Drosophila melanogaster: one gene and its partners. The protein of the gene in region 4 interacts with the protein of the main gene of each other region in a pairwise test. Each region holds a gene or a part of one and is shown on either strand. Other genes may lie near its edges.

Region 1 (9,850 bases), on a different chromosome or scaffold from region 4:
TCGAGGCGGACTACCAGCGCAAGCAGATCACAAAGAAGTTCCGCGAGAAGCTGCAGCAGATCAAGAACTCCGAAATGGACGACATGGACCTGCAGAAGGGTGAGAAAGTGGCTCCGCCATCTCATTACCCCCGCTCATACATACACATCGCGTAGAAAACCTGTGTACCAACTGCCCCACTTTCGCTGTCACCCTAATGCGAGCCAAGCCCTTTTCCTGTCTGGAGCTCCTCCTACCCATCCTCACTATCCCGCCCATCCACCACCCACCTCCCACACGAGTTCACGCATTTGTATATATACAAAATGATAAACGACTCCTCCAGCTGACTCCTCTTGTCGCACGCTAGTTACCTCACACTGAGAAAAATTCTTTCTGAAGTTTTTGAATGTGAAGGGATTTCTTATAGAGAGATGCTAGTCAGCTGAATAATTAGGTGTCTAAATAACTTGTTAATTGTAGTATTTTATGGCATTACAACCATTTAAGATAAGTTCCGAACCACAATTGGACGAAAAGCACTTCTGTTTTCCAATCTTGATAGCAAATTTATAAAAAGGGGCTTAAAATAACATAAACGGAAAAGTAGTAGCTTGCGATACAAAACTTTGATCTTCAGTTATCCCACCAGTAATCAATTTAATTTCGACTGAAATGGTTTTTTAATATTGTTACGTTATTTTAAAATATTTCAAATTCAAAATATTCACTCTCAGTTATCTTCTTCTAATAGAATAATAATCAAAATTGCATTTCAAGTCAGTATCTTCTTGAGTTTTGGACTTGTTCCAAATTTATGAGAACTCTTCGCATGCTTGGAACGAATTTTTCCCAGTGTTAAGCGATTTACTCACTTATTCTATCCATCTCGCCCTGCCGCTTCTCTATCACAGCACTTGCTTATATCAAATTGGAACAGTACGATGATCCCTAGGGGCTCTGTAAATTCACCCGCACCCTGTACAAACTATCGGAAGTACTTAAGCAGTAAACTCTCTATCGCAATGAACACTGCCACTGTAAGTAAGTAGCACATCTCAATAGTAACAGTCAAAGCGCTCCTCAGTCCCAACTTAGTTTACCCAACACATTTCTTTCAGTGTGTGCCCGCATCCAGAGCGACTATCTCAACTTCCAGGTCAGCATGGAGAGCATGAACGCGAAGCAGAATGTTAAGTTTAAGATCTAAGTGCCTGTTATAGTATTGTGCAGCGGAGATGGTATACCTAAGCGAAATATTAGTAACATTTAAGACATTATGTGCAATTAAAAGCTAATAAGCTAGAAAATAAAGTGTATTCGAGCGTCTGCAGCTAGCTAGAGATTAAAAGAGTGTCCCTTTTTTTATTTTACATTGCAGTTTGATTTTCTCGTTTTTATTAATTCCGATTGCTGTATCAAAGGTTTGTTAATATTTGCAGTACGTTTTTAAATGCGCTTTCTACACATACAGGCTAATTGCGGGGATGAATCCTCCATTGCGACTATATAACAAGTTGGTGGCATCCCTTAGTCGTGTTGCTCGCTTTGACATGGTAGTTTTAGTTCTCATGTTGCACTTAAGTCTACGTTTATTTGTTTAAAATGCGGCTCAGCTGTGGCGCTGACTCGGCCTATGACTGTAACAAATTGGCGGAGACACGGATTTGACGATGACTCGACACAAACACACACAATTCATTTACTAACGCGTAACTATTAATTCTTTGATCATTATTTTGCTGAGCTTACATTTAGCCTTACGGTTCTGTTTGGAATACTTGGGTTTGTCTTGCAATCTGGTTTAGTTTATGTTGGATTCACCATTCGGATATCGAATTTTAATACACAATTTATTTTTTGTATTTATATAAAAACAACTAAATATACTGAACACATCAATCGATGCGCTTGAAAGTTCTCCCCCTGCAAAAAGAACACGAGTTAGTAATCAGAATTCGTTATGGAAAGTCCAATGCTCACGTTATAGTTTTCTTCTCCGTGTTTTTGGGCTCTGGCCTTGCACGATTTAGCACCTTGAGGAAATCCGAGGTTTTTGCTCGCATGCGCGAATGAATGTAAGCCTTTGAACACTGCTCAAAAATGCATATTTCAAATATATAAAAGATATTTTTGCATAGCTGCATACAACACTTACCTTAATGTGGTAGTGCAAGTAATCTCGGAACATGTGAATTAAGTTAATGGTATTGTCCCTTGTTTCTTTGTTGGTATGCCGAGGGAAGAGTACTGCAAAAAACAAGTATGAGTCGTTACTATTTTGTTTCTTTTGGATATTTCAAAGTGTAACATCGGTTCAATTCTAAGAAGTACTGTACACAAACACAAGTCATCTGCGATAATATGATTGATTATTCAGGATGCCGTTCGTCTACTTATTTAATATTGGAGCATTAGAGACACAAATTGAAGGAAGGTATACAAAATATGCCACTTTAACTCCATTGGGATTACATTAGCTGTGCACTGTGCACCAAAGAAATCATCCAAGGAAATATAAGACTGCTTCGGATGATTCGATCGAATATATTGATTTTGGAGCATTGTAGACACGAAAACGATAATATTGTTAACATGTAAACTTTGTCTCCATTTAAAAAAGGCAGTCTAAGATATTCTTTTACTGTACACAAACACAAGTCATCTGCTATAATATGATTGATTATTCAGGATGCCGATTGTCTATTTATTTAATATTGGAGCTTTAGAGACACAGATTTAGGGTAAGTATTAAAAATATGCCACTTTAACTCCATATGGAATATACTGACATTTTTGTAACGAAAGAAATCATCCAAGGAAATATAAGACTGCTTTGGATAATTGGATCGGATATTGATTTCGGAGCATTGTAGACATAAAAACGATAATACTGTTAAAATGTAAACTTTGTCTCCACTGAACAATTCAGCTTGGGGATTCTGGGTTGGTGTGTTACTGTACACAAACACAAGTCATCTGCTATAATATGATTGATTATTCAGGATGCCGTTCGCATATCTTGTTGATATTGGAGCATTTGAGACACAATTCAAATTGTAATTTAAAACATGCCACTTTGACTCCACAGGTGACTTTAATGCATTATTGTGCGCGGAAGTATTTATCATTGGATATATTTATAAACTAGAATGTTCAAGATGATTTTAACGATACTATTTATATGGAGCCTTGTAGACATGGAAAAGACAAATGCACTTTAACGTGTAAACTTTGGCTCCACAGCACATGGTTTACCATTCAACCTTTAACATACCGAATGTGACATAGCCAATGTTGTCGCCCACCCTAGCGTCCGTGTTGGCCAATTCCAATGGTGGTTCTCGGTGCGAAAAGAGCACTTGTGGTGCGGTGTGCGAGGCACGCCGACCTTCCCTCAATTCCTGCATAAATACTTTGCCGATAATGACATCGTCTTCGTCCCGGAAAATGGTACTAAAGACGACGGTGACACGATCAGGCTTGGCTTCCACATATCTGCAAATCGATTGTAGATTGTCAGCGCTTGGACGAGTCAAAAACATATTTTTCTGACTTACAAAGTCTCATCGTTGCGGTAGTTAATGACGGCACGCTTTTGGCCCTCTTCGCCCTGCTCCTGATAGTCAAAATACTTTTCAAAAACCGATGCGAAACAGTTGCGCTTCAGCAGTCCGATTCTCTTTGCGATTTGCTCGCAGTCCTCGGGAATCTCCTCCAGGTTGATAAGTACGGAAACATTGTAGCCTGCAATTAGACGAGAGTAATTAACTTCTTTAAATGCCGAACTTAAACACGAACGTACCTTCTTCCGTGTCTGTAAGCAGACTGCCATATTCACGCTTCAGCAACTCGTCGGCTCCATGTTCTTGCAGCTGTTTGTAGAACTTCAGCGATATGCTGATCTGTTTCGCAGCCCAAGAAAAGTGAGAAATCGTTAATGTTGGATTTATCCTAAATGAATAGTACGCGGTACACTTACCCGAACTTTTGTTTTATCGCCATTCACATTGGAAATGTGATAAAGGACGCCGTCGAAGTCTGCTATTCGTATGTCTATCGATTCAGGCTTCAGTCTGGAAAGAGAATTAAAAAGTAAATTCTCATTTATTTTCTTGCTTATTAGTCATGCTCCCCACACTCCACCGTATCTTATCACATAAACTCGTTTATACCCGATTATTTTTCCAAAAGAAACCAGCAGCAATAAAATTATATTTTGCGTTTTCGAATAAATTAAAACATCCGTATGTATTTGTATCTGGATCGCTAAGCCGATATCTAAATTTAGTTTAATTCAATTACAAGAACTAAACAAATATTTCTGAATAATGTACACGAACTCAAGTCATCTATTGTGATATGTAGGATCAAACAGGATGCCGTTCGTTTGTATAATTAGTATCGGAGCATTAGAGACACAAATTGGATAAAAGTTCCAAGGCATGCCACTTTGGCTCCTAAATCGTACTTTGCGATCTTAAAGCGATTGTGCGCGAACTCAAGTCATCTGATGTAATATTATTAATTACTCAGGATGCCGTTCGCCAACCAAGTTGATTTGGGAGTGTTTGAGACACAGGCAGGTTTATATATCCCGAGAATGCCACTTTACCTCCACGACATACATATCTATAAATATGTGCACGAATTAAATGCATCCACAGCAAAAATATTGAATGCCAAGGATGATTTAAACGAACATTTGCTCTTGGAGCATTGTAGACACGAAAAAGATCTTATCCTTAGCATGTAAACTTTGTCTCCGAAGACGGGAGTCTTATAAAGGAATGTAAAGCTATCAGGAGCTATTGTAGGCGAACACAAGTCATCTGTTATAATATGCATAATTATTCAGGATGCCGTTCGCCTTTGCATTTGATATTGGAGCATTTGAGACACAAATAAAAATGGATTAAGTGTGCCACTTTGACTCCAATCCATTTTCATATGAACAACGAATGTATTGTGAACGAATGTATTTATCTATGGAAATATAATTATATCCAAGATGATTTAGACGTTCAATTAATATTGGAGCATTGTAGACACGGAAAAGAAAAATACTTTAGCATGTAAACTTTTTCTCCATATGACTATTGAAGCATTTTGAAGTTGTGCACGAACACAAGTCGTCTGTCTTAATATAAGTAATTAAACAGGATGCCGTTCGCTTATAAAATTGATATTGGAGCGATAGAGACACAGATCAAAGGAAAGCTATAAAATATGCCACTTTAACTCCACCCAAATATTTAATTAGTTGTTGTGCAGTTGGCAACCATCTTAGGCAATAAAATAAATCGAATAAGACGATTTAAACGAACAATTTATTTTGGAGCATTGTAGACACGAAAAAGAAGCCACATCATCTTCAACATGTAAACTTTGTCTCCCGAGGCATTATTGGTCTAATAAATCGAATACTATTGTAGTCGAACACAAGTCATCTGCTATAATATGATTGATTATTCAGGATGCCGTTCGTCCTTTCGTTTGATATTGGAGCATTTGAGACACAAGTTACAGGAAGATCGTAAGACGTGCCACTTTGACTCCAGAATATTACAAAAGTTGAACATTTTATGGCAAATGTACACGAACACAAGTCATCTGTTATAATATGATTGATTATTCAGGATGCCGTTCGTCTTTCTAGTTAATGTTGGAGCTTTTGAGACACAGATCAAATATTGTTTTTGAAGAATGCCACTTTGGCTCCAAAGCCTAAAATTTGCAATAATGTACACGAAAGTATTTATCTTAAGAAACAAAAAGAATTACTCAAGATGATTTAAGCGTTACAATTTATATCGGAGCGTTGTAGACACGGAAAATGGAGAATCTTTAGCATGTAAACTTTGTCTCCCAAGAATACAGATAATAGGGGAGTAATATTGAAACTATTAGTTTTTATGTACACGAACACAAGTCATCTGCTATAATATGATTGATTATTCAGGATGCCGTTCGTCCTTTTGGTTTATTTTGGAACATTTGAGACACAACAGGAGATTTTTTCCAAGTATGCCACTTTTGTTCCACAATTTATAACTTTTATTGCCTTAATTTCAGGCATTACACTGCAATCTTATCGGGAATAAACTAATGGCATCATAACTATTAGCATTTAAATACATTTATTTATGTGAGATCTTAATCATTCGCTACCAAACACAAATACCTCTTTCTGCTGATAGTGCTGTTAGTACAATAAGTTATTTTACTAATTTTAATAATTTTGTTAGTCTGTAAGCTTCGTCTAAGCTTCTTCTAAACCGTTTAGCTTAAACATATTTCTTTCGTAACACGACTCCTTTGATAATGTTTCTTCAATAATAATATCCTTTTTCGGGATTAGGAACAAATAAATACTAATATTTTCGATCATCACAAGCGTATGCGTTTGAATGCACGTCAATGGATGAGTCAGTTTTGCAGATTTTCAGCACCGATGATGCGAATAGCGAGTTGTAATGAATTAACTAATACGCTGTCGACGTAAGGGGGCTGCACTGTACTTGGGTACGTGTGTGGGAGGGAGAGAGCTGCAGCGATGAGTGTTCCAAGGCTGGAACTACACCCAAATTTATTCCCGAGGAAAGAGAGAGCTAACGAAATTGATAACAAAGCCGACTGGTGATAACAGAACGGTGGGGAATGCAGCATAGAAATCAAAATGGTGGAATGGAAATTGGGGAAACGGGACTGGAAGGCATTGACTTACCCAGCCTGGGCATTACGGTATTTGACCAGCAGCGTCTCCTCGATAATCCGATTATTGATTTCCAGCAGGATCATGGCGGTTGAAGTTAACTGTTATTTTTAGTGTGCCAATTTCGATGACAAATTATATGACGTTGACTGCCGCTAATGGTGCTGCTGCTCGCTGCTTCTTCTTCTGCCGCTCCCTGCGCTCTTTCTGCGCTCCGTTGAGTGCGAGTAAGACGGTGCGCTGCTCCAACTCACCAATACTGGTGCATGACGGGCGTATTAATGAATCAACAACAAAAAATGGGCGCTGATGTCGGCTTTTTTGGTCCGTCACACACACATGGACGCACTCTCGCCACACACACGGGCGAATTCCAATGCTCACACACACAGTTGCAAGAAAATCCACCTTATCCTCTTTTCGCGCCTCCAATTTCCAATCGCCAGTACTTGCAGCGCGCACGATGCAGTGCAAAATCGGTCTCAGACCGTAATACTTATAAAATTATAACAAAACGTGGATGGAAAACGGGGAGCACGCTGCCGTATTTTCCTTGCTCACAGCGTTGCCAGGTAGCACAATAGAGATGGGGCAAACTCACCGATGGAAAGATTGAAGTATCGAGCTATCGACCATCAATGTTATCAGGTTACACAGAAATTCAAACCAGCAGATTTTAACAAACATAAAGAGAATTTTCTTTAAAATATATAAAATAGAATATATTTTAAACGAAATTCGTACACACGAACTTTAAATTATAAATATGTATTAAGACATTTTAAGACAAACACACAAATATTTTATTTAACATTGTTATAATAACGGTGCTATAAAACTAAGAGGCACATTTTTTTAACAGAATAATCTGGCAGCCCTTTTTGTGCGATGACCCATCGCCTATCGACTATCAATATTTCCCGCCAGGCTGCCGGATCGTTCAGAATAAATAAAAACAAATAATAGCGAAAATCAATGGACGACGATGAGCTGATTAAATTGATAGAGAGACACCCGATCCTGTACGACAAGGACTGCGCGAGGAGCGTGAAGAATGCGGCGCAAAAGGACGCGGCCTGGAAGGCCATCTCCCAGAAGTTAGGAGCCTCGGAACGGGCGTGCATTACGCGCTGGAAGAGCATTCGCGATCGTTTCGGCAAGGAGTTTCGCCGTTTCCAGGAGCGTCCGGATGAGCCCACCTACTGGGACATGTTTCCGCGACTGCTCTTTCTCAAGGATCACTACAAACAGGGACTGGCAAGGAACGAGAGTCTCGACGGGATGCGTTTTGAGCCCAGGGAGCGGAAAAAGCGCACAAAAGTGGACATGGAGCAGGAGAGGCGGAGAAAGGACGAGGAGGAGGAGGACTCCCAGGATGACCTGCTGAACGAGCAGCTCATTGAGCTGGTCAAGTCTCATCCCGTGCTGTATGATCGTCACAAGATCAGAGTCTCCAAGAACCTAGCAGCGAAAAACGAAGCCTGGCGAGAGATTTCTGAAAACCTAAATGTGTCGGGTGAGCTCGGGGTAACCCTCTTGATCTTCAGCCCTTAATGCCGATAATTTTCAATAGAGGAACTTTGCTACAACCGCTGGAAGAAGCTGCGTGATCGTTTCGGGCGGGAGTTCCGCAGTCATCAGATCAACCAGTCCACGCCCATCACGTGGAGGTACTTTAACGACCTTCTCTTTCTGGGCCGCCACTTCCGCAAAGGAGTGCCCCTGGTTTTGGAGAACATCAAGCGACGTGGACGACCACCCAAAGCAGGAAATCCTTCGGGAAAGACCAGCAAACAGCCGGAGGGAATGGTGATCTCCAGTGGTGAGCAAATCTGGGGCGCTGATTACCCCTACAGTACGGACAACGACGATCTGGAGGATGATCTTGAGTTGGCCTACGATGAAGAGATTGAGATACTATCGGAGGCGGAGCAAGCAACGCCGTACGATTTTATCCTCAGCGAAGCGACGGCACGGCAGGACTTGGAGCCACCACAGCAGCTCCAGGTGACCACCACCACGCCGGCCACCAGTGAGGAAATAATTCACACAATCGCCAGGGTAAATCCCGTCGTAGAGGAGTCCTCCTCTCTCCCTGGGGACTCTGTACCGTCTGCCGCCATCTCCGACAAACTGTTGACCACCGTGATTGCCAACATGGAGACCGTGCTTCAGCAATCCCGGGAGCTGCAGGCCCAGATTCACCACGAACAGGAGCAGGAGCGAGAACAGCGAAGTACACAGCCTGCCAACAGCCTGCTTGCCAAGGCTCAGATGCTGCTGGACGGACTGAGTCCGTCTGAGCGGGCAAGTGCCGAGCGTAAGATCGTGCAGTTCCTGTGCCAGTGCCAAATCAAAGCCCTCGATGGCGAGGAGATCGAGGATGTGGCACCTTGTCAGGTCATTAACTGAAATTAGAATGTTGTAGATTAGCTGCAAAAGTATTACGAAGAAGGGTTATTACATAAGTGTAAGCATGAAAATATCTGTAAATAAATAAACTTACTAAATATTGTGGCTCAAAAGGCAATATTGAAAAAGAAAGGTTTGAATATTTGTAGATTTCAAATTGAGTTGTTTAAATTACCAGTGCTGAAAAGCATTGAAATGCGTAACCACAACCATCGCCATCAAACGCTACCCGCCACCAGAGGGCGCTGAATTATTCAAATATTTCGGTTACGCGAAAATTAGAAACAAACATTTCATACCGACCAAAAACAAAAAACAGAAATAAATAAAAGCGCCCACGCCGACACCATTTATTGCAATTAATAACGAACAAATTCGCGCGTACGCAGCAGATGGATAAACAAATCGCTTGGCGTGCACTTGGCTCTTGGGAAGCGCGAGTGCCAACAGATTCTCGATTCGCTTAGTTGCCGCCTCCGGTTCGCACGGTGCAGTTGGTCGGGACCCAGAGATACCGATCCAAATCCCATTCTCATGCGAGCAGGAATCCCTAGTTGTGCGTCAAAGAGCGCCGCCTGAACTCTGAAATTATTATTAAGATAATAAACGCGAGCGCCTGCTAAGTGCCTGCGAATGGTTCTTCTCGGGCATAAACTTGTTTCTTGTGTAAATAAACGAAGTGCGCGGCAAGCGTTTGAAGTTCTGGCCGGGATCCGGATTCCCCGCGTCGAGTGGTGCGGCCCA
Region 2 (6,254 bases), on a different chromosome or scaffold from region 4:
TTTTCACACGTTCAACCTAAAGCACACATTAATCCAGCTGTATGGTAACGAAGCTGGCTTGGAGTTGGGCGTGCTGAGCAACACGCAGCTGGAGCGCAAACTGAGGCTCTGCGGTGAGCTCTACAACGTATGCCGGCGACTGGATCCATATAGCATTAAGCTGGCTATCTATGTCACGGTCATCCTGATCGAGGTCGCCCACACGCTGCAGGAGCAGGCACGAAGGGCACCAGCAGAAGGAACTTCCCTCTTGGGTCTTGCGCAAAGCCGTCTTAGGGAAGCGCATATGGTTTTGGAGAAAGAGCAAGAATCAGTTGCCGGCAAAAAGCTAAACGAAAAATTGCAGATGGAAATCTTCGAGTGCGAAAAACTAATTTTAGCTCTTGCCTATAATCAAGATCACGAAGCCAATACAAAATAATTTTCTAGATCGGCGAAAGTGGTACAAGTGAACATTTTGAACACCGGATGCTGTTAGGTGCTGTTAAAACAAATCACACTTTGTTAAAATCCAATGAAGCGCCGTTCAAAAGAAATTGTAAAACGAGACTAGGAATCTTTTCAAAATACACATTTTTGTTGGGTTGCTTATAAAAACTATAAGATATATATAAAATAAGATTTTAAAATAAAAACATGTGCGCTATTTTTGATTCTTTGGAAAAATCCGCTAGATAACCGGGAAAACAGCTATAAATATCTATTTCCTACTGAACCTAAATGTCTTTGTAGAGCTATAATTATATAGCTTATTTTCAAATTTTACCTATTTCTCTTTAAATTACCAACTGCGTGACCATTGAAATTCACAAGGTTTGGTATATGACACATTTCCTGAAAAAAATCACTTCTTAATGATATTGAGCACCGAAGAAATTAGTTTACATAATTTGGAACAACTGACCCTTCGATGGGTCGAGGTTATCAACTATAGCAATCTCCCTTGTTTTTAGAATTAATTCAAAAAAAATTTGTGAAATGTATGGTTTTTGGCTACCGCTTCTAATAAGATCACGTTTTAAACATCTTACTTTTACTAAACTAGAGTCTTACGTTTTTTTTTTATAAATGACCTATTTTGAACTGTAACCGTCAATAAACTATGCTGACTTAAATAAGCAGATATTCTGCATATTCTTATCAAAAATTATTACCAGAATTATTGACCTGATTGACTGCTTTATAGTTTATCTGCCTATATTTATTTGACTATATTCAATTACAATGAATTCCTAAATTAATCTGTAGCTCGCAGTTCCACTCGCTGTTGTCGCAGAAGCTGTGGATGCGCCCTCAGGATGTCACGTTGTTGACGGAGGTTCTTGATAATTCCTGGCAAGTGCCAGGCGTGTCTGAGCAGACTATCTGTCACATCAAAATGGGCATGCCGCACGCAGCGTAGTTGGGAGCAGTGCGCCACGGTTCGGAGGTCCAAAGCCATATCGTGCACTAGCGTAGCTAAGTACTCCTGCGTCTCGTTGATGGCGTGCAGTTCCAGGGTGAAGTGCGGTCGATCGAAGTGAATCAGCTTAATGCCGTAGACGACGGGCTGACTGTCGTCCGCTGGGCGTAGGAGACCCCTACAGGCCAGTTCATAGGCCTCCTGGGTCTGCAAATCGACACCGCAGAGCTCAAACATCTTACGCTGATGGGATGCCTGCATGGAGGCGGCTAGACTGCTGATCCTGTCTGCGGACACGTGTCGGTGATTGGAGCGCATTATGACCCGTGAGTCTGGTAGGTTATTTTCGGTTGCGATGCCTAGGTGCCCGATTAGATGGTAGACCCGCACTGGTCGATTTTTCCGAATAGAACTAGACTGGCCTGCTCCCCTGTTGATCCCAAAGACTACAAAAGTATGGTTAGATCTGGATTTAAAATGTTTTACATGACTTACGCAGGACTCCGCTGGTGTGATCGCCCAGGCTGGACACTGTGGTGCAGATCAAGTCTCGCGGAAGGTACCGCGGTCCGGTGGACAGAAGGTGGTCGGATAGATCCGTCTGCTCTCCTATGTTATGTAGTACGTGATCTGCTGCAGTGCCTGTGCCCAGGAGGCTAATGTTCTCTTGCAACTTGCGTGGTTTCCTCTGCTCCATTTCGTTGAGTCCTTTTGCAGATCTGTTTTTAATTTCAATTTGTTCTTTAAATGGCGCTAGGCTTACCCTTGCAAATGTTGCTCAGAATAGCATTGCGCACGTGTTTCACCTTCATACCGGATGGCTTGTACACATTTAGAATGCCATTCATGTGCTTAAACACTGTGGCGGCATCATAAACTTTGGTGAGAGCCATTTCTGCTTTAAGTTACGTATGTGCGCTATTTGTTTTTAAATTCACATGACAGTGTTGGTGAACACACACGAACAGCTGAGCACATGTGCTGCCCAGTACTGAATAGGGTATAGACATGCACTTGAAACTTAATTTATAAAATTTACATATAAAATGTTGTTTTCAAATATCTCTTTAATTTTCTAAAAAAAAGTTTAGTTGGAAATAATTCTCAAAACGTTGTGGTCTTTATACCCGCAAAAAAACATGCTTGTATCACTGCAAAACAAGAATTAAGTCCACCGCACGAAAAAACAAGAAACAAATCCGATTGGGCTAAAATTTTCTATAAATTTTACAAATTTCACGGGAATATTCTCACTGTGGCTTGCATACTATTTGCTTGCATTTAAAATGACAACAAAACTGCACTTAAAGAAGTTATAATCAAATAAAGTCTTATGCGTATCACTATATTCTCACAAGAGAAGTGGTTTTCAACGAAAAAAATGTTTTAAACTGGTAAACAGCAAACTGAAGCCTAGTGACTACCCTAAATGTTATTAAAATATCGGTGGCCGTTAGATATCGATATAAACGATAACATCGATTATTAAGCATATGTCTTTTACATCTCTATTGCACGTGTAGGATTTGTTTTGACCGCACGAATTTGTATAGCCGCATACCATTAATTCACGTTTTAATCGCAAGTATTGAGAGAAACCGCGTCTTGAGATGAAGTGGACTACTGCAAATACCAAACATGTAAACTACACGGCGAAGCACGAACTGTATGTGGGAACACACACGGGCTCCTTTAAACGTACGTCCGCTTGTTCTTTATCGAACAGCATAATAATAATGACTTCAACTTTTTAGACCTGGTGCCTGCATCCGAGAAGACCCCTTATGGACAAAGCAACCTGAGTGATCTGTGCGCCCTGGATAAGGATTCCCGCGTCACATCTCTGGCCTTTGGCAACGACGATCAGACGGAGATCCTTCTAGGCCGGGCCAAGGACGCCGTGGAGATTCACTCCTTCACAGAAAAGGGACATTCTAGGAACACAGTATCCTTCAATGCTGCGCCAATTGTTGGTCTGGCCCGATACAATGACAAGCTTATTGCCGGCATTGGCAACGGAGAGATACAGAGCCTGGAGCTAGAGGCGAACGACGAGTCCGAGCCCGTGGTTATCGCCACGGGTGACCAAATGGACCACCTGCGCCAGTGCGCCCAAGTCAAAAGCATTGTAGCAACTGGCGGCAAAGAGCGTCAAAACAATCTAAAGGTCTACGATTTAAATGCCGACGGTAAGCAGATTTTCACCTCGAAGAATTTGCCCAACGACTATCTGCAGCTAGAGGTTCCGGTTTGGGACAGCGATATCGGCTTTGTGGATGGGCCTAGTGTACTGGCCACTTGCTCGCGAACCGGCTATGTTCGCATCTATGACACGCGTAAGCAGCGTCGACCTGTTGCATGTTTTGCCAGCGAGGAGCACGGGATGAGTTTTACGACTTTAGTGGCAAAGGGAAACTTTATTTACACGGGTACCACAATGGGTGCTCTAAAAGCCTTTGACACTCGACGCATGAAAACTCATGTGCATACGTACAAGGGATTCACAGGCGGGATAAGTGACCTTCATTTAGATGCCACCGGTCGCTTTCTGAGCTCTGCAAGCCTAGACCGATACGTTCGTATCCATGATTCCGAAACCACAGTGCTGCTCTACCAATGCTACGTGAAATCAAAGGCCACTAAGATTCTTATCCGACCGTTTGAAAACGAGGCACGAGTAACAGAAGAACCTGAGGAGGTCGCTGACCTTCAAATGGATAGAAACGTGAGTGAAAATAAGAGCGTCAACGCAACATCTGTGGACAATGAATACGAGGATATGTTTGATCAGATGCCCACTGTGGGGTAAGTTTAACTACATATTGAGTGATTTAATAATACGCTAAAATCTTATATTTTGGCCAACAGTGACAGCGATAATGAGTCCGAGGAAGAGATGTCTAATATTAAGCTTTCAAAGGCCGATCTAAAAAGAAGATCGTCGGAAAAGTCTTTAAAAAACAAAAAGAAAAAAGTTGTGATTAGTTAAAGCGACATGTATTTACGTATAAGAATATTAAAGAAAAAATAGTATAGATTTCGGTGGTTTTTATATTAAAGAACTAACAAACATGGCATCGTAGGTAGACACAGAGCTGTTTTAAAAAAGTTTCGTTGCATATTACATTCTGAACTGACTGTCGAGCAAGGGAACATGAGGTGCGTGCAAGTACTTAAAATAAATTATATTGTAAAGATGGAAGCAACAAACGTCGACTGCGATTATAGTGTTTTACCCCCAGCATAAAAATGGATTCGTGGCCTTCCTGTCATTTTTTCAATGAAGTGTTGGGTCTGTAAAAACATTGCAGCTTCTGCAGTCTAAGATAAGGTGTTGTTTATTTCCTATTTCTAAAAACATAATTCTCAAAAATGTTGGCTTTGGGGGACAGTAATGTAGGAGGCAACCTCATTTAAAGAGACGACTCTTGCGGTTCACCCTTTCTTTTATTTATGTTATGTGGAGTCGTGGTTTAGTGGCATTTTAATGGGCTTATAGTATAAGTATCTTATCCCTACTAGAGGAGTATCTTACATATGTTTAAATATTTATTTACACTAGATAGATGTACGGCAACGGAGAAAAATTAATATTGTAGCCATCAATAGTTTGGTATTATTCATCTTAAGTAAGCTTCTGTAAAAATCGTTTTGGCCACATAATATGAGATACACATAATATCATGTGTGTAGTATCTGAAGACATATATACATATGTTTGCCTATAAACTCATATTTCTCATAAACTAGAATTAAATGTTTTCCTGAAAAATGCAATATAGATTATTATAAATGCGTTATAATAATAATATTTCCCACTCGTTTCTAGATAAACAACGGCTTTGTTTTAAAAATTTAAAAGTATAAGAAAATAAAGCCAGAGCTCCTGAATTCATAATATGTTAAACAACAATGCTCATTATTTTGAGTTTAGGAACATAGTTGAAATTTTAATTCCATCAGATGTTCAATTTAAAATTTAATGTTTAAATGAACATTGCAGCTACTCGACCCGAAAAGCCAGAAAATTGCCCAGCAACGGAGACATTAAATCGAAGTTGGAGTCGCGAGATGGCATATTTTTGAATTTGGAGTGATAATTCCTTACCTAAATTAAAGCATGAGCTTTGAGCTCTGCCAAGTCCTAAAATTTCATTTGAACTACATCAGACTAAAAACTTTTAATTTCTTTTTCGAGCTAAAAGTCGAGCAGGTTAATACTAAGATACCAGCCAGCCAACTTCGAAGCGGTTTCTAACGCGAACACGCGTCCTGATTCGATAAGGCAACTCCCATCTTCCAACCCCGGCTGGACGGCCTTCACGGCATGCACACGCACTCGGAATGGTGATGCCGAATTTCGTCCTGGTATCATCTTTGGCATCTTTTTGGGAAACTGGTTCGGCGTGACGCAAGCATAGGTCGCGTGCTGATTGAAACTTGGATGTCAGTGGAAAACCTGGCCGACGAAAAACGATGGGGCGACTAACACTACCAGAGCTCCGCAATCTTTTAGCTTAAATTTTAATTTCATCCTTACGTTGCCCCCCACCTCCACCTCCATCAACGGTTAGTGGGCACCTTTTAGTTTTTCCGTCGGTTTTGCTTATCCAGATACGCGCCACGAAACTTTTGTTTGCCGACAAATAATTTGGCTCGGGAAGTTGGCGCCTCGCTCTGGTTACCATCGTCGAAATTTCAGCGAGTGAGCTTTGACAGCCCCCAAAAGTTGGACATGGGCTGACAATGTTTGCCGGAGCAGAGCTCGGAATTTTTAATGCAAGAGCAAGCTTCAGCGCTCGTGATAATGTTGCAATTTGCAAATAGCTTATAAATCGGGCTAAAAGTTGCA
Region 3 (7,725 bases), on a different chromosome or scaffold from region 4:
GAAGGCTCTTCCAGAAGCTGCTCACCGTGGAGATTGATGCAGATGTGCAGATCGTCGCCGAGGAGACATGCCAGACCGCAGTGAAGAAACCGTACGATGGCCTCGCCATATTCACCATGTAAGTAGAGATCATAATCATAAAGAGATGATGGATGCGACGATGGTCTAAGATTTGGTTAACACGTAAACTTTCAGAGTGATCGTTTCGATCTTGGGTGCTATAGTGGGCGTCTGCACTATTTTCGATTATTTCTTTTGCAAAGATGAGAGTGAGTTCTTCGCGAATGCGATCCTTGAATCCGTAGTAATCGTCCGTGCTTGTAGAAACCATCCATCCAGTGGTAGAAGCCTTCTCGGCACGAGCTAACTCGCGTGCCCTATTCCGCATTGTGGACACCAAGGCGAATCCCAACGTCATCGATTGTCTTCATGGGATCCGATGCCTTTCCTTCATCTGGGTGGTCTACGGTCATGACTATATGGTGCTTGCCACGTCGCCCAACATTAATATGGGTTACCTTCTGACGGTAAGTTGGGCGAGTAAAAGAAAAACGTAAAAGTTCTATATAATTACCCATTATTTAGTGGATCAACTCATTCTACAGTCTGTTTGTAAAACATGCGGTCTATGCGGTGGACTCATTTTTCTTCCTGAGCGGTCTGTTGCTCGTGGTGATTGCCCTGCGATCAATGGATAGGTGAGTTGTGACTTGAATGATAGGGATATCATTTGAATTACTCAATTACTCACTTACATTGTGTTGTTACTCCGTCCAGAACCAAGGGAAAGCTGAATATACCCCTAATGTATTTGCATCGGTATCTGCGACTCACGCCCATCCTGGCCATTGCCATACTCTTCTACATGAAGATCCTGCCGCTGTGGGAAAGCGGGCCACTTAAAGGATCAATAAGCTTTGATGACTACTCAGCATGTGAGAGCACCTGGTACTGGACACTACTCTATGTGCAGAACTATGCGACTGATAGCCTGGTAGGGTCCTTCGATGACGACATTTTGTATCACCTTATATCACCCACGGTTTCTCGCAGTGCCTAAGTCATTCCTGGTACCTGGCGGTGGACATGCAGCTGTACATCTTTGCACCATTCCTCCTGATCTGCCTGTACAAGTGGGGCAAGAAGGCGGCTGCCGGAATCTTTGTTCTGATGCTCCTGCTGGCCGGCTGTCTTTTTAGCATCATGGTCATCAATGATTTATCGCTGTAAGTGGATGTTAGGGATACTTATATGTAAGATATTCAGAACAATTCTCTTATTTGCAGAGGAAGCGGCGGTGATTCGATGAGGAAGCTCTACTATGCCACACAGACTCGTGCTTCTCCCTACCTGATTGGCATACTGTTCGGCTACTTTCTTCATACCAACCGGGGCAAGGATTTCAAGCTGAACCGCCTGGCTGTCCTCCTGGGATGGCTGATTGCGTTGTCACTGATAGCCAGCTGCCTGTTTTCGATCTATGGTCAGAACACGTTGCCCATTGTGGAGGAGGCCTTCTACGTAAGCCTAACCAGGATCGCCTGGCCCCTTGGTCTCTGCTGGGTGGTTTTCGCCTGCATGCACGGTTACGGAGGACTGGCCAACAGCTTGCTATCCTCTCCCCTGTGGCAGCCGCTGTCCAGGCTATCCTATTCCGCCTACATCTTTCACATGTTCATCGAGAGCTTGAACGGTGGAATCACGCACACAAGTACCTACTTTAGTGACTATCAAGTGGTAGGTACCATGTTCCCTTGTACGCGGAGTTGACCATTCTAAGAATCCCCCTATCTCCAGATGCTTCGATTCTGGACGGACTTTGGCTTTACGATTCTGTTCTCGTACCTCATGCATATCCTAATCGAAGCGCCATTCGCCGGTCTGGAAAGCCTTTTGCTGCCCGCAAAGAGGCCAAATGCCAAGCCGGCCGCGGTGGTGGAGCCCAGGATGTCGGAGGTGAAGGCATCAGTCGAAGAATCTCCAGTAGGTAAGCCTGCGGAAGCGATATCCACGATACCCGACGAAGTTATTCAGGCTGCTCCCGAAAAGAGCAACGTTTTAGTATAATTACATTTAAAATATATGATTTCATGCGTTACGTAAAGTATTAAAACTGTGTTCGAAATTCATTGTACGGTAAGCGATTCCGATATTCTTGATCAGAATCACTGGACGAGTCGATACTTCCATGTCCATCCATATGAACGCAGATACGCCTACTTTTATTATTTGGCTTGCCCATTTCTGTCGATCTGCCCACAACATGTTGGCCCCGCCCACTTTAAGCATCCAAAATACAAGTTTAAAATGTTAATAAATACGTTTCGATTGGTTTGTCAATCGATTGATTTTATCGTTTTATCAGAGCAAATTCTCCAATTTCCTGACTATAAACATAGCATTTCGTCACTACGCAGATGAAAGTCAAGACACATGGTCAGCAAAGTGGGGAAGTCAAGTATACAAATACAAATACGTAATCTATGGAATGTAAATTATCAACAGATTTGGCTCTTATCAAACTGAAAAACTTGTAAACGCTTTGGTGCATACATATCTGATAGTCGAGACACTAGACAAAGTCGTTCCTTCTGTTTTTTTTTTGTGTTTCTTTTCTTTTTTTCTGTAACTGAATGGGGCGTGCATCGCCTCTGTGAGTCAGAATTGAAATCTTTGTGTGCCCATTACAGCAAGCCAAAGTCGGGAATCACCTTCATGACTAATTCGAAACCCACCTGGTCGCAAAAGTCGCAACCAGATAACGACTGATATCGTCTTAAGTGCAAGACTTTTCAACTCAAGGACCATTCATTCCATCGTAACTCTAGACCCGTGGTTAAGTTAATTGTGCCTAGATTACAAGTAGTTCGTTTTAATAAAGGCTAAATAGGAGCTGATAAGTCTAATTTGATAACTCGAGGTCAGTCTCTGTTTTGTTGGCACTCGTTTCCAGGTCAGGCTGGATATCACTGCGCTTCTCGTGCTGCACCACCTGATCCATCCCGTCCATGTGATCCATCTGGTCCATCTGGTCCACGACTTCCGTTCGGGACTCGATATGCAGCTGATCCTTTGCTGCTGGCGGGCTTCTGCGATTGGGAAACATAATTCTTTCCAAGGCCTCCAGAGGCGCCTCAATTAAAACGTAGAGCACGTAGGACATCAGCAGGGTAAAGCCAAAGGTGGACCAAAAGTTGAGCATCTATGGAGTTGGAAATGAAGCGTTCAAGTCCAATAGGAATGTCGAGTGACCCTGCCTGCCACACACTTACCACTTGATAGTTGGAGAAGTACGTATTGGTCTGAACGCTTCTATTGGCGACTTCCACGACAAAGATGTGCCAGATGTAGGCGCCGTAGGAGAGCTTGGACAACGGCTGCCAAAGTGGAGAGGAGAGGAAGCTGTTGGCCAGACTACCATAGCCCTGCATGCACGCAAAGACCACCCAGCAGAGACCGAGGGGCCAGGCGATCCGGACCAGTGTATAGTAGAGGGCTCCCTGCAACACTGAGGGCGATTTGCCCAGCAGCTTGGAGTACGGATACAAGGCGAAGATCGAGGTGAAGAGCGGGGCCAGGCAGAGCAGCCAGCCTGCCCAGGTAGCCAGGAGGCTTAACTTGAATCTTCGGCCGCGCATCAGGTGCAGGAGATAACCGAACATAGTACCGACCAACCAGGGCGCCGCATGGGTATGCGTAGCGGTGTAGATCTTCCTCTGAACCACCTGAGCCTGAATTCCATTCCTGTTAGTAATTGCAATTAGCATTGGGGGACACAAAACGGCGGGCGCGACTGGCTTACTTGAACATCACAGGGAAGTCATTCACCATTATGGTGGCAAACAGGCAGGCGGAGAGCAACAAAGTGACCACCAGGATACCTCCGGCCGCCTTCTTGCCCCACTTGTAGAGGGCGATCAGCAGGATCGGGGACAGGATGTACAGTTGCATGTCCACCGCCAAGTACCAGGTATGCGGCACGCACTAAGGAGCAACCAACAATCAAATAATTAGATAGATAAATATACAGATATAGTCAAGAGCTCCAACTGCAATGGCAATGGTACCACCGAACTTACATAGATGGCGCCAACGATCAATTCTAGTGCTGCAGGCGCCATCTATCGAAGTGATCTCCTATTCGCAGTAAAGCCACTAAACACTTTTAATTATTGTAACTTCTAAGGTATATAAGGTTGATACAGATCCATCCTGATACGGACGGACTAGATGGGCTTGTCCACCTCTCCTGATCAACTTGGACATTCAACTCACCACATCGGATGTTGCGTAGTTCTGCACGTAGAGCAGAGTCCAGTACCAGGTCATCTTGCACCCGGAGTAGTCGAAAAAGCCGATATCATCGTACATTGGGCCGTCTGCGATGAGGGGTATCATCTTGTAGAATGCCAGTATGGCAACGGCTACGATCGGAGTGAGGCGCAGATATCGGTGCAGATACATCAGCGGCACATTTAGCTTTCCCTTGTTTCTGGAGCCATTGAGAATGTTAGCCTGCCTACAGATCGGATTAATCCCTGTACAAGTTGACTCACTTTTCTATGCTTCGCAGGCCAATTGAAACCAGCAGCAAGCCGCTGATGAAGAAGAACGTGTCCACCGACAAGGTACCGTAGAGTATGAAGCTCGAGAAGAGTTGCGTCGCCCATCGCAGGTTGTCCGCTGGATTGATGGCGGGACCCTTCATGTTGATAATGTACTCATGGCTCAAGATTACCCAGATCAGGGACATGCACCGCATGCCATTGAGACAGTGGATTACATTCGGATTCGCCGTGTTCTCCACAATGGTGAACAGCGAACGCGAAGTGGCACGGGCTGAGAAGGCGCCGATGGGACGGGGTAGCTTTTCTGCGGGTAGACATGGATATATGGTACATATACATACATATAGGCTGTTATCCGATTTATGTCAGCTACTTACCCTGCTCCGGACACAAGAAGTAGTCGTAGAGGGTGCACAGGATAACCGTGACACCAAATACGGACAGTAGAACGCTGATGGTAGTCAGTTAGTATGGATAGATCAGCTAGGATGTATCAAGACACTACTCACACTGTGAATATGGTGAGCCCATCCCAGGGTGCTTTCTCCTTGATTCTGCACGACGTCTCGCTGATGGAAAACAAATTGGTCGGATCACTGACGCCAAGCAGCCGCTTGAGCAGTTGCTTGAGGAACAGCTCCATGGTGCCCGCCGAGCAAGAGGAAGGCAGGCACACAGCAGTCCTTATGTTGGTCACCGCCAGCAGCTCAGAAGTGAAACCCAACCACTTGGCAACCGGCAGCTCCATGAAGCAGTACTTTCCCTGGATGTCCTGCGATGAGGTGAGCATTCCGCCCTCGGACAGGCACTCCCTGTAGTTGCCCATGTCGACGCGGTTGCCAATGAGATATCCCGATGGAATGGTGCCCCACGCGTCGAGCACTTCGCATAGAAGGGATAAACTCAAATGGCATCAAAGTTGAAGATGTTGTAATACCCACTTTTTAGGGCCCACGCCTTGGGCGCACTAAGCGCACTCATAAACTGGGCCATATCGGCCAGGCACTGTAGATCTTGTGATCCAATCCGCTCACCCAGAAGATGCACATCCGCCGTTGAAATGTTCCGAAATTCGCGATAGAACTCCATTGCCAGGGAGCGCAGATCCAGGAGCCGTTCGTAATCCGCCATGGAGGACACATCGTGTTGTGTCCATTGATTATTTGATAGTTGGGTCGGCAGCGCTCCTTGGACCATCGCCATTCCCATGGCAAGCAATATAGCCAATAGCTTGATCATCTTTCGCCTGGAGCTCCTAGTTTACGACTGTTTAGCGAATCACCCTTCCCTGGCCCATTTATACACAGGCAAATCCTGCTGTGCATTTCCCATTCGAAATCGAGAATTCATTATCTCATTATCTGCGCCTCCGACAATAGAATAGTTACCAATAATCGGAGGCATAGCTACCCTTGGTAATCAGGGCAGCGAACTCTTAACGTGGCTAATACTATTGCGATTCGGATGAATACCCGGAAAGATAAGCCGCTGGATTTGGCTGTTTCGGTAGCATCTCTACCTTGTCGAATTTCCCGAGAATACTTAACTTAACTTAGCTGCTGATTAAAAGGCGATTTGGCTTTCCATACAACATGACTAATGGTATTCAAACGAAATGTTCAGCAAATTGTTGCTCAGTTGTCTGTCGTTTTTTTTTTTTTTTGTGTCTGCAATTCCGACATTTTTCGGGACAGAGATTTGTCCAGTTTTTGATTTTGACATGCAATACTTATTTCTCGATATCCTGTGTTTTCCAGGTTTTCCCAGCTTTTGCTGGAAAATGGAAATTCGAACGAGTTTTCACTTTCGTCTAGGTTCCCAGCCAAAAGTGGAGGGGTGTGGCACCGACTGGTTTTCGTATGAATTTTGGACCAGATTCGCATTTTTTGGTTATGCAACAGCAATACATCAAGGTTACAGCGAGAAGGAACGCCAAATGCAACCGAACCGACTATCAGATACCCAGCATTGCCAACGCGAAAGTTAGTGTTTTGAATGGTACTTTTATATATGTATATAAGTAACTATGACTTAAATTAGATTATGCATAGTTGCCTATTTGAAAAGACCTGAACAACCGGTACAGCAGTCAAAATCTAATTTACATGCAGAACTCAGGCAGCAAGTGTCAAAACTTTGGTCAAAACTTTCGGAAAATCGAAGGTCTAAACTGGTTTTTCACCCAATTCCGATGCGAATGCGAATTGCAAACGAGAGTTGCTAACCATTGTCCAGTTGCGCCAATGCTTGAAAAACCAAAAGCTGTTAATTACTCTGGAAATGATTAAATATATCTTGAAAATCAAATGCAACAGCCGCAGCCAAACCGAAATTGAAATTCATATTATTATGAGAGCAAATCGTGACAGCCCCTCTTTTTCGGCACAGTGGTACAAACTTGACGAATTAGTCAACGAATTAGTAAGCGCCCACTGTTCGTAAAATCTTTCCCAATCGAATACACCTATAATATTCAGATAATCTTCATTGTTGAACATTTGAACTGTTTTGAGGAATGAGATTTGACACAAGTTCAAGTGAAATTGGTAGTATGTACATACATACGTTTGTATATGGTATATAACCACTTGAGTTTACAATTATAAAACAAGCAATCTATGAATGATTTCCCTATCTTATGGGAAACTTATCTGTGAATTATTGATATTTTGTTAGGGTTTTAAAACATGTAGATTCGTACTCGACACAGAACAATCTAAATAGTATAGATACTTAATGAGCTTGCAGATAGTTAGTTCCCTTGTGTATATCAATCCCTTATGTTGGAGGCAGCTCTACTATATGGTATATGCTATGTGTATGTATGGTATATATATAGGTGGGTATATGGAGTTCTAGTCCCACGGTGCGTGTTGTTTAGCCTCTTAAAATGCACTCGCCGCTAAGCATTATGCATAGTTCGAGCTGCACTTACGATCTATAAACTGGCGCAAAAGTAGTGCAAAAGTAATTGTTGCCACGCACTGAACTCGTTGATAACCGCCGGCAGTCGGCGGGGTCTGCGATTACGAGATCCAGGCGGACGGTCGCAGCTAACCCGTCTAACTAGTTGACTTTGGGGGGGCACTTAATCCGCGACGCCCAGGCCCGCGTGGCACCACTCCGTTGGAGTACAGGCAGGCGACTCCAGCGCTGA
Region 4 (6,477 bases):
CAACTGTATATATCATTACGTAATAAACATTACAATTTGTTCTATTTTCAACAGTAAAATAACTGAAAGATGGTAGTCGGATTGGAAGGAAAATACTCAGGCTACAAAAATTCGACTAAAAATGAATCATTGCAAGAGTCAGCATTTGTTGAAAATATCCAAGAATTTAAGAAGCGATGATAAACAAGTCATATTATTATCATATTTATTTTTAACAAACAGATACACACGAATCTTTCCGCAACCTGGTCATTCGTAAAAGTGCTTCTGCACCCATCGAGGCAAGGCAAAGGCGGCGGAGTGAACCTCGGAGGAGTAGTACCTTAGGTCTATAGAATCGATTTCGGACTTTCCAAGCTTGGGAGTAGCGAAGTCCTGGTTTTTGTTCAGGGAGCCCATGACGAAGCCAATGTGGCCGCAGGGATAGGACGGAACGGAGGTGACGGCATAGGCCACCTTAGCAAAGTGCTCCTTGCAGCCGGACATGGTCTTCTTGATGTAGTCCAGGTCCAGCCAGAAGCTACCGCCCTGGGAGCACACGATTCCGTCATCCTTCAGCGCGTGTTTCATTAGCTCGTAGTAGCTTTCCTGAAACAGGCTCACTGCCGGACCAATGGGATCCGAGCTGTCGGTGATGATGACATCAAATTCGTTCTTGTGTTTCTTCATATAGTCGAATCCATCGCCAATGGTAAGCTTCAACTTCTCGTTGGCGAAACCACAGGCCATCGCTGGGAGATATTGCTTGGACAGCTCGACGACACGGTCGTCGATTTCCACCTGATGCACTTCCTCGACCAGTGGATGCTTTACCACCTCGCGAGCAACGCCGCCATCGCCACCGCCCACGATCAGGACCTTTTTGGGATTGGGATGGGCGCAGAGCGGCAGGAAAGATATCATCTCCTGGTACGAGAACTCATCCCTGGCCGTGCACTGAATGATTCCGTCCAGAATTAGGCACCGTCCATAGGTTTCGCTGTAATAGAATTATCGAATTATTGATTTTTTCAGCGGCGCAAGTGTACCCAATGTTCGACTGGAGGAACTCAAACCTGAAAGACGAGCTGACTTGCTATCAGTATTCTGTCTGTCGTTTTTGGCCCTAGATGACTCCATCGATAAGGCTGTTGGTGCAGATCAAGAATAAACACACGAAAACCAAAGGGTCCGAAAATGCTGGCTGGGCAATTTGTGTTTGAACAACCAGTGGAAAATTTTCGATTTCTACAATCTATGATTTAGGGACCTTCAATGTAGGATACATATGGGATTAGGCTATTGTAGGTTAGTCCTTAAAATCTCAACAGCTTAAGCTGTTAAAAATTTCGGATTTGTGTGACTTGCGTGTTTATAATGATTTTAATTTAGTTTTTTAATCTCAATCTAAGCTAATTTATTTTGACATCTATCTTCAAACTTCAGTCTAGACTGAGGAATTTCGGATGTAAACAAATGGGGTTGTGTGTCCAAGTATTTGTTTATCTATTATTTATCTTACGTTTCAACGATCTGGATGTCTTGGAACCGGGACTTCTCCTTGTGGATGACCTCCTTGACTTTCAGGGAGAATGACTGACCGGGCCAGAGATCGGCCTGCAGTTCGCTGAACCATCCGTTGTTAAGGGAATCCATTTGTTTAATGCCGCATTCGAATCGGCGTTTGATAAGATTGGCTCAACACGTGGGCTCGACACGAACTTACCGTATCTGCCACAAAGCTAGGTCTTAAAAAATACCTTAGAAGGTCTATTGGTATAAATACCAAAGCTTTTTTGTTTTAATTAATTTAATTTCACTTTTCTATTTCTGGCTATTTATCTTTTTTATTAATATAATACATTTCCAGCGAAAATTGTAATTTTTTAATGTAATAAAGTCAAATGTAAAAGTTAGCACTTATAGATAAAAAAGTTCCTAAAATTAACGAAATACAGGTGCAAAGTTTTGGAATTCCTTTATTTGTTTTTGATTTGTATTATAATGTATAATTAACATTCTAACTTTTTAAATACTATGAACTTTATCGGGTGAAAACTTAATTGTTAACATGTGATGTAAGTGTGAGTTAAAATTTTCAAAACCCTTAAGCCGTTAAAAAGCTTAGGAATGTTCTGGAAGCACAACTGTTCTTCCTGTAACTACTACAATTGTTAAGTAGTAGAAGAATTGTTATTGGAGTAATTTTATGTTTTCTTAGCTTAGCCTGCTGCAAGTGATTAATTGTATGCCAGAATATATTAATTTTATATATTTTATAATTTAATTTAATTAGCAAACGGTCACTTTAGTGTTTCTAATTCCAGCTCAAGCAATCGATAGCGACAGGGCAGCATGCGATTGCTTATCGAAATCAGCCCTGGCCGGTGAAAAAGAATACGTAGACATCCCTGATTGGCCTGATTTGGGCCAATGAAAACGTTCCAGCAAACCAATTTCAGTAACAAGCCGTCCCGCTCCGACACGCACGATTTAGATGCAATAAATAAATAGCACTTTCTTGCCGGCATTTAGTACTTAACTTTAACCGAGTTCGGACAACCATCGGAGTTGGAAGAGTCAGTCCAAAAAGTGGTGCGGGATCGTTCACATGATGTGGTGCAAAACAGTGATAGTGTTGCTGGCGACAGTCGGCTTTATTAGTGCCGAGGTTTATCTGAAGGAGAATTTCGACAACGGTAAGTGGTAGTCATCGCGTTCTATGGCCGCCATGTGGTCCTCCGCTCCCCTTCAATGAATAACGAAAGGAGAGACAATAAAAATAGAAGAATAATAAAAGCACTCCCCCGCTTGTTCCCGTAGAAAACTGGGAGGATACGTGGATCTACAGCAAACATCCTGGCAAGGAGTTCGGAAAATTCGTCCTCACCCCCGGTACCTTCTACAACGATGCTGAGGCCGACAAAGGTAGCGTATATGTGTCGATGTGTCGTCACTCCCTTTTCCAAATCTTTCTCTTCGCTCGTTCTGCCATTTTTATTTTTCGTCGGCGTGTTATCTGCATTTGTATGTGCCCGTGTATGCGGAGAACATGGGCACGAAGAAGAAGAGGAAGAAGAAGAAAAACCACTACGTGTACGTTTTCGAGTAGCTATAGTAACTGTATACACATTTTTTCTCGCCCCCCACCTCCGCGCGGCGCGCATTCGTATTGATGTGGACACACATTATATAGGCATTCAGACCTCTCAGGATGCTCGATTCTACGCGGCCAGCCGCAAGTTTGATGGCTTCTCCAACGAGGACAAGCCCCTCGTGGTGCAGTTCTCCGTGAAGCACGAGCAGAATATCGACTGCGGCGGCGGCTATGTGAAGCTGTTCGACTGCTCCCTCGACCAGACCGACATGCACGGCGAGTCGCCGTACGAGATCATGTTCGGCCCGGACATCTGCGGACCCGGCACCAAGAAGGTCCATGTGATCTTCAGCTACAAGGGCAAGAACCACCTAATCAGCAAAGACATCCGCTGCAAAGATGACGTGTACACCCACTTCTACACGCTGATTGTCAGACCCGACAACACGTACGAGGTGCTCATCGACAACGAGAAGGTGGAGTCTGGCAACCTGGAGGACGACTGGGACTTCCTGGCCCCCAAGAAGATCAAGGATCCCACCGCCACCAAGCCCGAAGACTGGGACGATAGGGTAAGTTGTAAATCCCCGCCCAAATCAGACTTTAGCCCATCGAAAAACCGGTTTGGCTCATTGTTATTAAACAACAACGTAAATCTCTGTAGGCCACCATTCCCGATCCCGATGACAAGAAGCCCGAGGACTGGGACAAACCAGAGCACATTCCCGACCCAGATGCCACAAAGCCTGAGGATTGGGACGATGAGATGGACGGCGAGTGGGAGCCACCGATGATCGACAACCCTGAGTTCAAGGGCGAGTGGCAGCCAAAGCAGCTGGACAACCCCAACTACAAGGGCGCCTGGGAGCATCCCGAGATCGCCAATCCCGAGTATGTGCCCGACGACAAGCTGTATCTGCGCAAGGAGATCTGCACCCTGGGCTTCGATCTCTGGCAGGTCAAGTCCGGCACTATCTTCGACAACGTCCTGATCACGGACGACGTGGAGCTGGCCGCTAAGGCTGCTGCCGAAGTCAAGAACACCCAGGCGGGCGAGAAGAAAATGAAGGAGGCCCAGGATGAGGTGCAGCGCAAGAAGGACGAGGAGGAGGCGAAAAAGGCTTCCGACAAGGACGATGAGGACGAGGATGATGACGATGAGGAGAAGGATGATGAATCTAAGCAAGACAAAGATCAAAGCGAACACGACGAATTGTAAGGACGTCTAGGGAAAATTACGTCGAGAAATATTCGGTATTTTTTGTGTGTTGGTAGCTGCTTTGATGTTCTAAGCAAACGGAAACCACAATTACAATTTGTAAGACTTATAATTTATAAACATACAACTTGTTGTTTTTTTCCATTGCTCTTTTCGAGCGATTTAAGGGTTGTTTAGCTTGTTTATCAAAATGGTGGTGCCACGTGAACAAATCACGGCCGAATGGCAACGCTGTCTATATCGTCGTGTCTACATCGAATTTTGATTTACAGAAAAACGGTGTTGCCACTCCAAATGGTTTTCAAAGTGCTGTTCGAATTCTACGAAAATATAAATCCTAAATTCAATTAAATCCCAATATGAACTATAGAAACAATGAGATATAAACATAACCGAATCCTAATTTATTTATTCGAGTAAGCCGTGGTATTTGGTCAAGAATTTAAGGTATCACTTTAGCTTTAGCTTTTGATCTCCATCCCGATGCTTGCCCAGAAAGTGCCGCTTCAGATGATGTTTCTCCCGGAAGTCCTGCAGGCAGATGGAACACTTGTAGGGCCGTTCATCCGAGTGGCGTCGTCGGTGCTTCGCCAGGTTATTGTTGTCCGAAAAAGTCTTGGGGCAGTGGGGGCATTGGTAGGGCTTCTCGCCCGTGTGTATGCGGATGTGGACCTTAAGGGCCTGCTTGGAACGGAAGTTGGACACGCAGAAGGGACAGGCATGCGGCCGTTCGCCCATGTGCGCATGGATGTGCACCTTGAGGGCCGACTTGTTGAAGAATCCCGTTTGGCAGTATGAACATTTGTGGGGTCCGTTTCCCTGTTTCGATTCCGCGTGGATCAACAGGTGCGCCTTGAGGTTTTGTTCGCGAGTAAAGGCCTGCTGACAGTGGGGGCACTGAAAGGGCGAACGCTCCTGCATATCCTTGCATTTGTGGCTGTCCAGGCTCTGGGTGCTTGAAAAGACCTTTAAGCATTCCGGGCACTCGACGGTGGAATTGCTATTGCGATAACATTGGTGGTTATCCAGATCGGCCTTGAACAGAAAACGCTCTTCGCAGTTTTGGCATACGTGTGAATTGCTGTGAACCCTGTGGAATGAGATATACAATTTTAAGAACAGGTGAAATCATATGTATTGATTGTAATTACTTCATGTGGTCCAGGAGGTTTATTTGGCGCTTGAACTGTTTGATGCATAGTTCGCATTTGAAAGTCTGATTCTTTATACTCCTTAGCTGTCTGCCAGCTCTACTGGTTGTTATGGAAGACTTGGTTGTTCTGGAAGCTGTTTGATGTGTCTTTTTAATTTCCTTGTTGAGTTTCTTCTTTGCTTCCAGATTGCCTTTGTCTGGGTTCTCAATGAATAGGAAATCCTCCTCGTTGGGCTCGTCCTTGATGACCTGCCCATTTAATATCGCCAAATAGAACTTCTTGTAGTTCTCTTCGCATCTTCGCTTGAATCCGTAAGCAGTTCGTGCATCGTGGACACAGGAAATGCACATTTTTTGGGGCATAGCGTCGTCGGGATCCAACTGCACGTCGGCACATGTCTTCACCATCTCAGCGAGCTTGGCTCCATCAACATATTCTTCCACCTGATCGTCGAAAATGCCCAGCATGTTTTCCGAGGCCCCGCCACAAATTCGACACAGGTCCTCCATTGCTTAACTGCTGTTTAACTACAGGTCATATTTTTGGTAAACAATAAACTATGGTATAAACTTTTGTGTGCTTCTTTGTTTGGCTTTGGCTTAATAGAGATGAACTTTTCTGCCGTGACTTTAGTGACTCCAATTTTCGATCACGGTATTTATAAATGAAAGGTAAGCAAAGTTATGTTGTTAATAAAATAACAAGAAATTGAAAATAGTAATTCATTATAATTCATAGTTGATAATTTAGATTCATTGAGTCACGGTTTTTAAAAGTAAAATCTATCGATAACTGTAGCCACAGTCGCCAATCGATTGCATTTAAATAGTTCGCGCTACACCGTTTAGACTCAAATAAAGCAAATAATTGTATTTTAAACGCTTCCGTGAAATTGGCCATGCAAATTAGTTTGATATGGAAAACGTAGTTACTAGTTGGTATATTTATTGCAGACATGAACAGACTAAGTGTGAATATAATACTATCCTTTATGCTGTCTCTTCTGATATGGCAGACTTTCACATATT

The links.
Region 1: the proteins of Calr (region 4) and Arpc2 interact in a two-hybrid assay, tested with the Drosophila melanogaster proteins (one large-scale study listed by BioGRID).
Region 2: the proteins of Calr (region 4) and l(2)k09848 interact in a two-hybrid assay, tested with the Drosophila melanogaster proteins (one large-scale study listed by BioGRID).
Region 3: the proteins of Calr (region 4) and CG14204 interact in a two-hybrid assay, tested with the Drosophila melanogaster proteins (one large-scale study listed by BioGRID).

The regions. Positions count from the first base shown.
Region 1 is NT_033779.5:20,414,524-20,424,373, reverse strand, and holds Arpc2 (Actin-related protein 2/3 complex, subunit 2), read right to left. Parts: upstream 7,318-9,850; 5' UTR 6,781-7,317; coding exon 6,707-6,780; intron 6,027-6,706; exon of another isoform or gene 5,893-6,026; intron 5,852-5,892; exon of another isoform or gene 5,720-5,851; intron 5,705-5,719; exon of another isoform or gene 5,570-5,704; intron 5,541-5,569; exon of another isoform or gene 5,407-5,540; intron 5,378-5,406; exon of another isoform or gene 5,241-5,377; intron 5,230-5,240; exon of another isoform or gene 5,093-5,229; intron 5,072-5,092; exon of another isoform or gene 4,944-5,071; intron 4,919-4,943; exon of another isoform or gene 4,789-4,918; intron 4,749-4,788; exon of another isoform or gene 4,618-4,748; intron 4,601-4,617; exon of another isoform or gene 4,466-4,600; intron 4,443-4,465; exon of another isoform or gene 4,309-4,442; intron 4,056-4,308; coding exon 3,962-4,055; intron 3,885-3,961; coding exon 3,785-3,884; intron 3,727-3,784; coding exon 3,540-3,726; intron 3,478-3,539; coding exon 3,257-3,477; intron 3,224-3,256; exon of another isoform or gene 3,100-3,223; intron 3,071-3,099; exon of another isoform or gene 2,936-3,070; intron 2,900-2,935; exon of another isoform or gene 2,774-2,899; intron 2,758-2,773; and 13 more. Other genes in the region: CG15130 (uncharacterized protein), read left to right, coding at 1-99, 1,101-1,189; CG10949 (uncharacterized protein), read left to right, coding at 7,670-8,210, 8,268-9,106. UniProt on the Drosophila melanogaster protein: Functions as actin-binding component of the Arp2/3 complex which is involved in regulation of actin polymerization and together with an activating nucleation-promoting factor (NPF) mediates the formation of branched actin networks.
Region 2 is NT_033778.4:6,073,017-6,079,270, reverse strand, and holds l(2)k09848 (lethal (2) k09848), read left to right. Parts: upstream 1-2,903; 5' UTR 2,904-3,012; coding exon 3,013-3,100; intron 3,101-3,156; coding exon 3,157-4,207; intron 4,208-4,270; coding exon 4,271-4,391; 3' UTR 4,392-4,800; downstream 4,801-6,254. Other genes in the region: SmydA-5 (SET and MYND domain containing, arthropod-specific, member 5), read left to right, coding at 1-421; CG7849 (uncharacterized protein), read right to left, coding at 1,238-1,848, 1,898-2,110, 2,166-2,295.
Region 3 is NC_004354.4:19,581,724-19,589,448, reverse strand, and holds CG14204 (uncharacterized protein), read right to left. Parts: upstream 5,833-7,725; 5' UTR 5,808-5,832; coding exon 5,510-5,807; intron 5,451-5,509; coding exon 5,078-5,450; intron 5,020-5,077; coding exon 4,946-5,019; intron 4,873-4,945; coding exon 4,557-4,872; intron 4,493-4,556; coding exon 4,276-4,492; intron 3,985-4,275; coding exon 3,803-3,984; intron 3,745-3,802; coding exon 3,273-3,744; intron 3,203-3,272; coding exon 2,903-3,202; 3' UTR 2,392-2,902; downstream 1-2,391. Other genes in the region: CG14219 (uncharacterized protein), read left to right, coding at 1-118, 196-269, 325-527, 586-698, 778-994, 1,054-1,226, 1,287-1,737, 1,798-2,067.
Region 4 is NT_033777.3:9,626,879-9,633,355, reverse strand, and holds Calr (calreticulin), read left to right. Parts: upstream 1-2,504; 5' UTR 2,505-2,590; coding exon 2,591-2,678; intron 2,679-2,802; coding exon 2,803-2,907; intron 2,908-2,915; exon of another isoform or gene 2,916-3,101; intron 3,102-3,175; coding exon 3,176-3,648; intron 3,649-3,740; coding exon 3,741-4,295; 3' UTR 4,296-4,665; downstream 4,666-6,477. Other genes in the region: SpdS (spermidine synthase), read right to left, coding at 250-979, 1,502-1,635; CG8319 (uncharacterized protein), read right to left, coding at 4,746-5,385, 5,447-5,958. UniProt on the Drosophila melanogaster protein: Molecular calcium-binding chaperone promoting folding, oligomeric assembly and quality control in the ER via the calreticulin/calnexin cycle.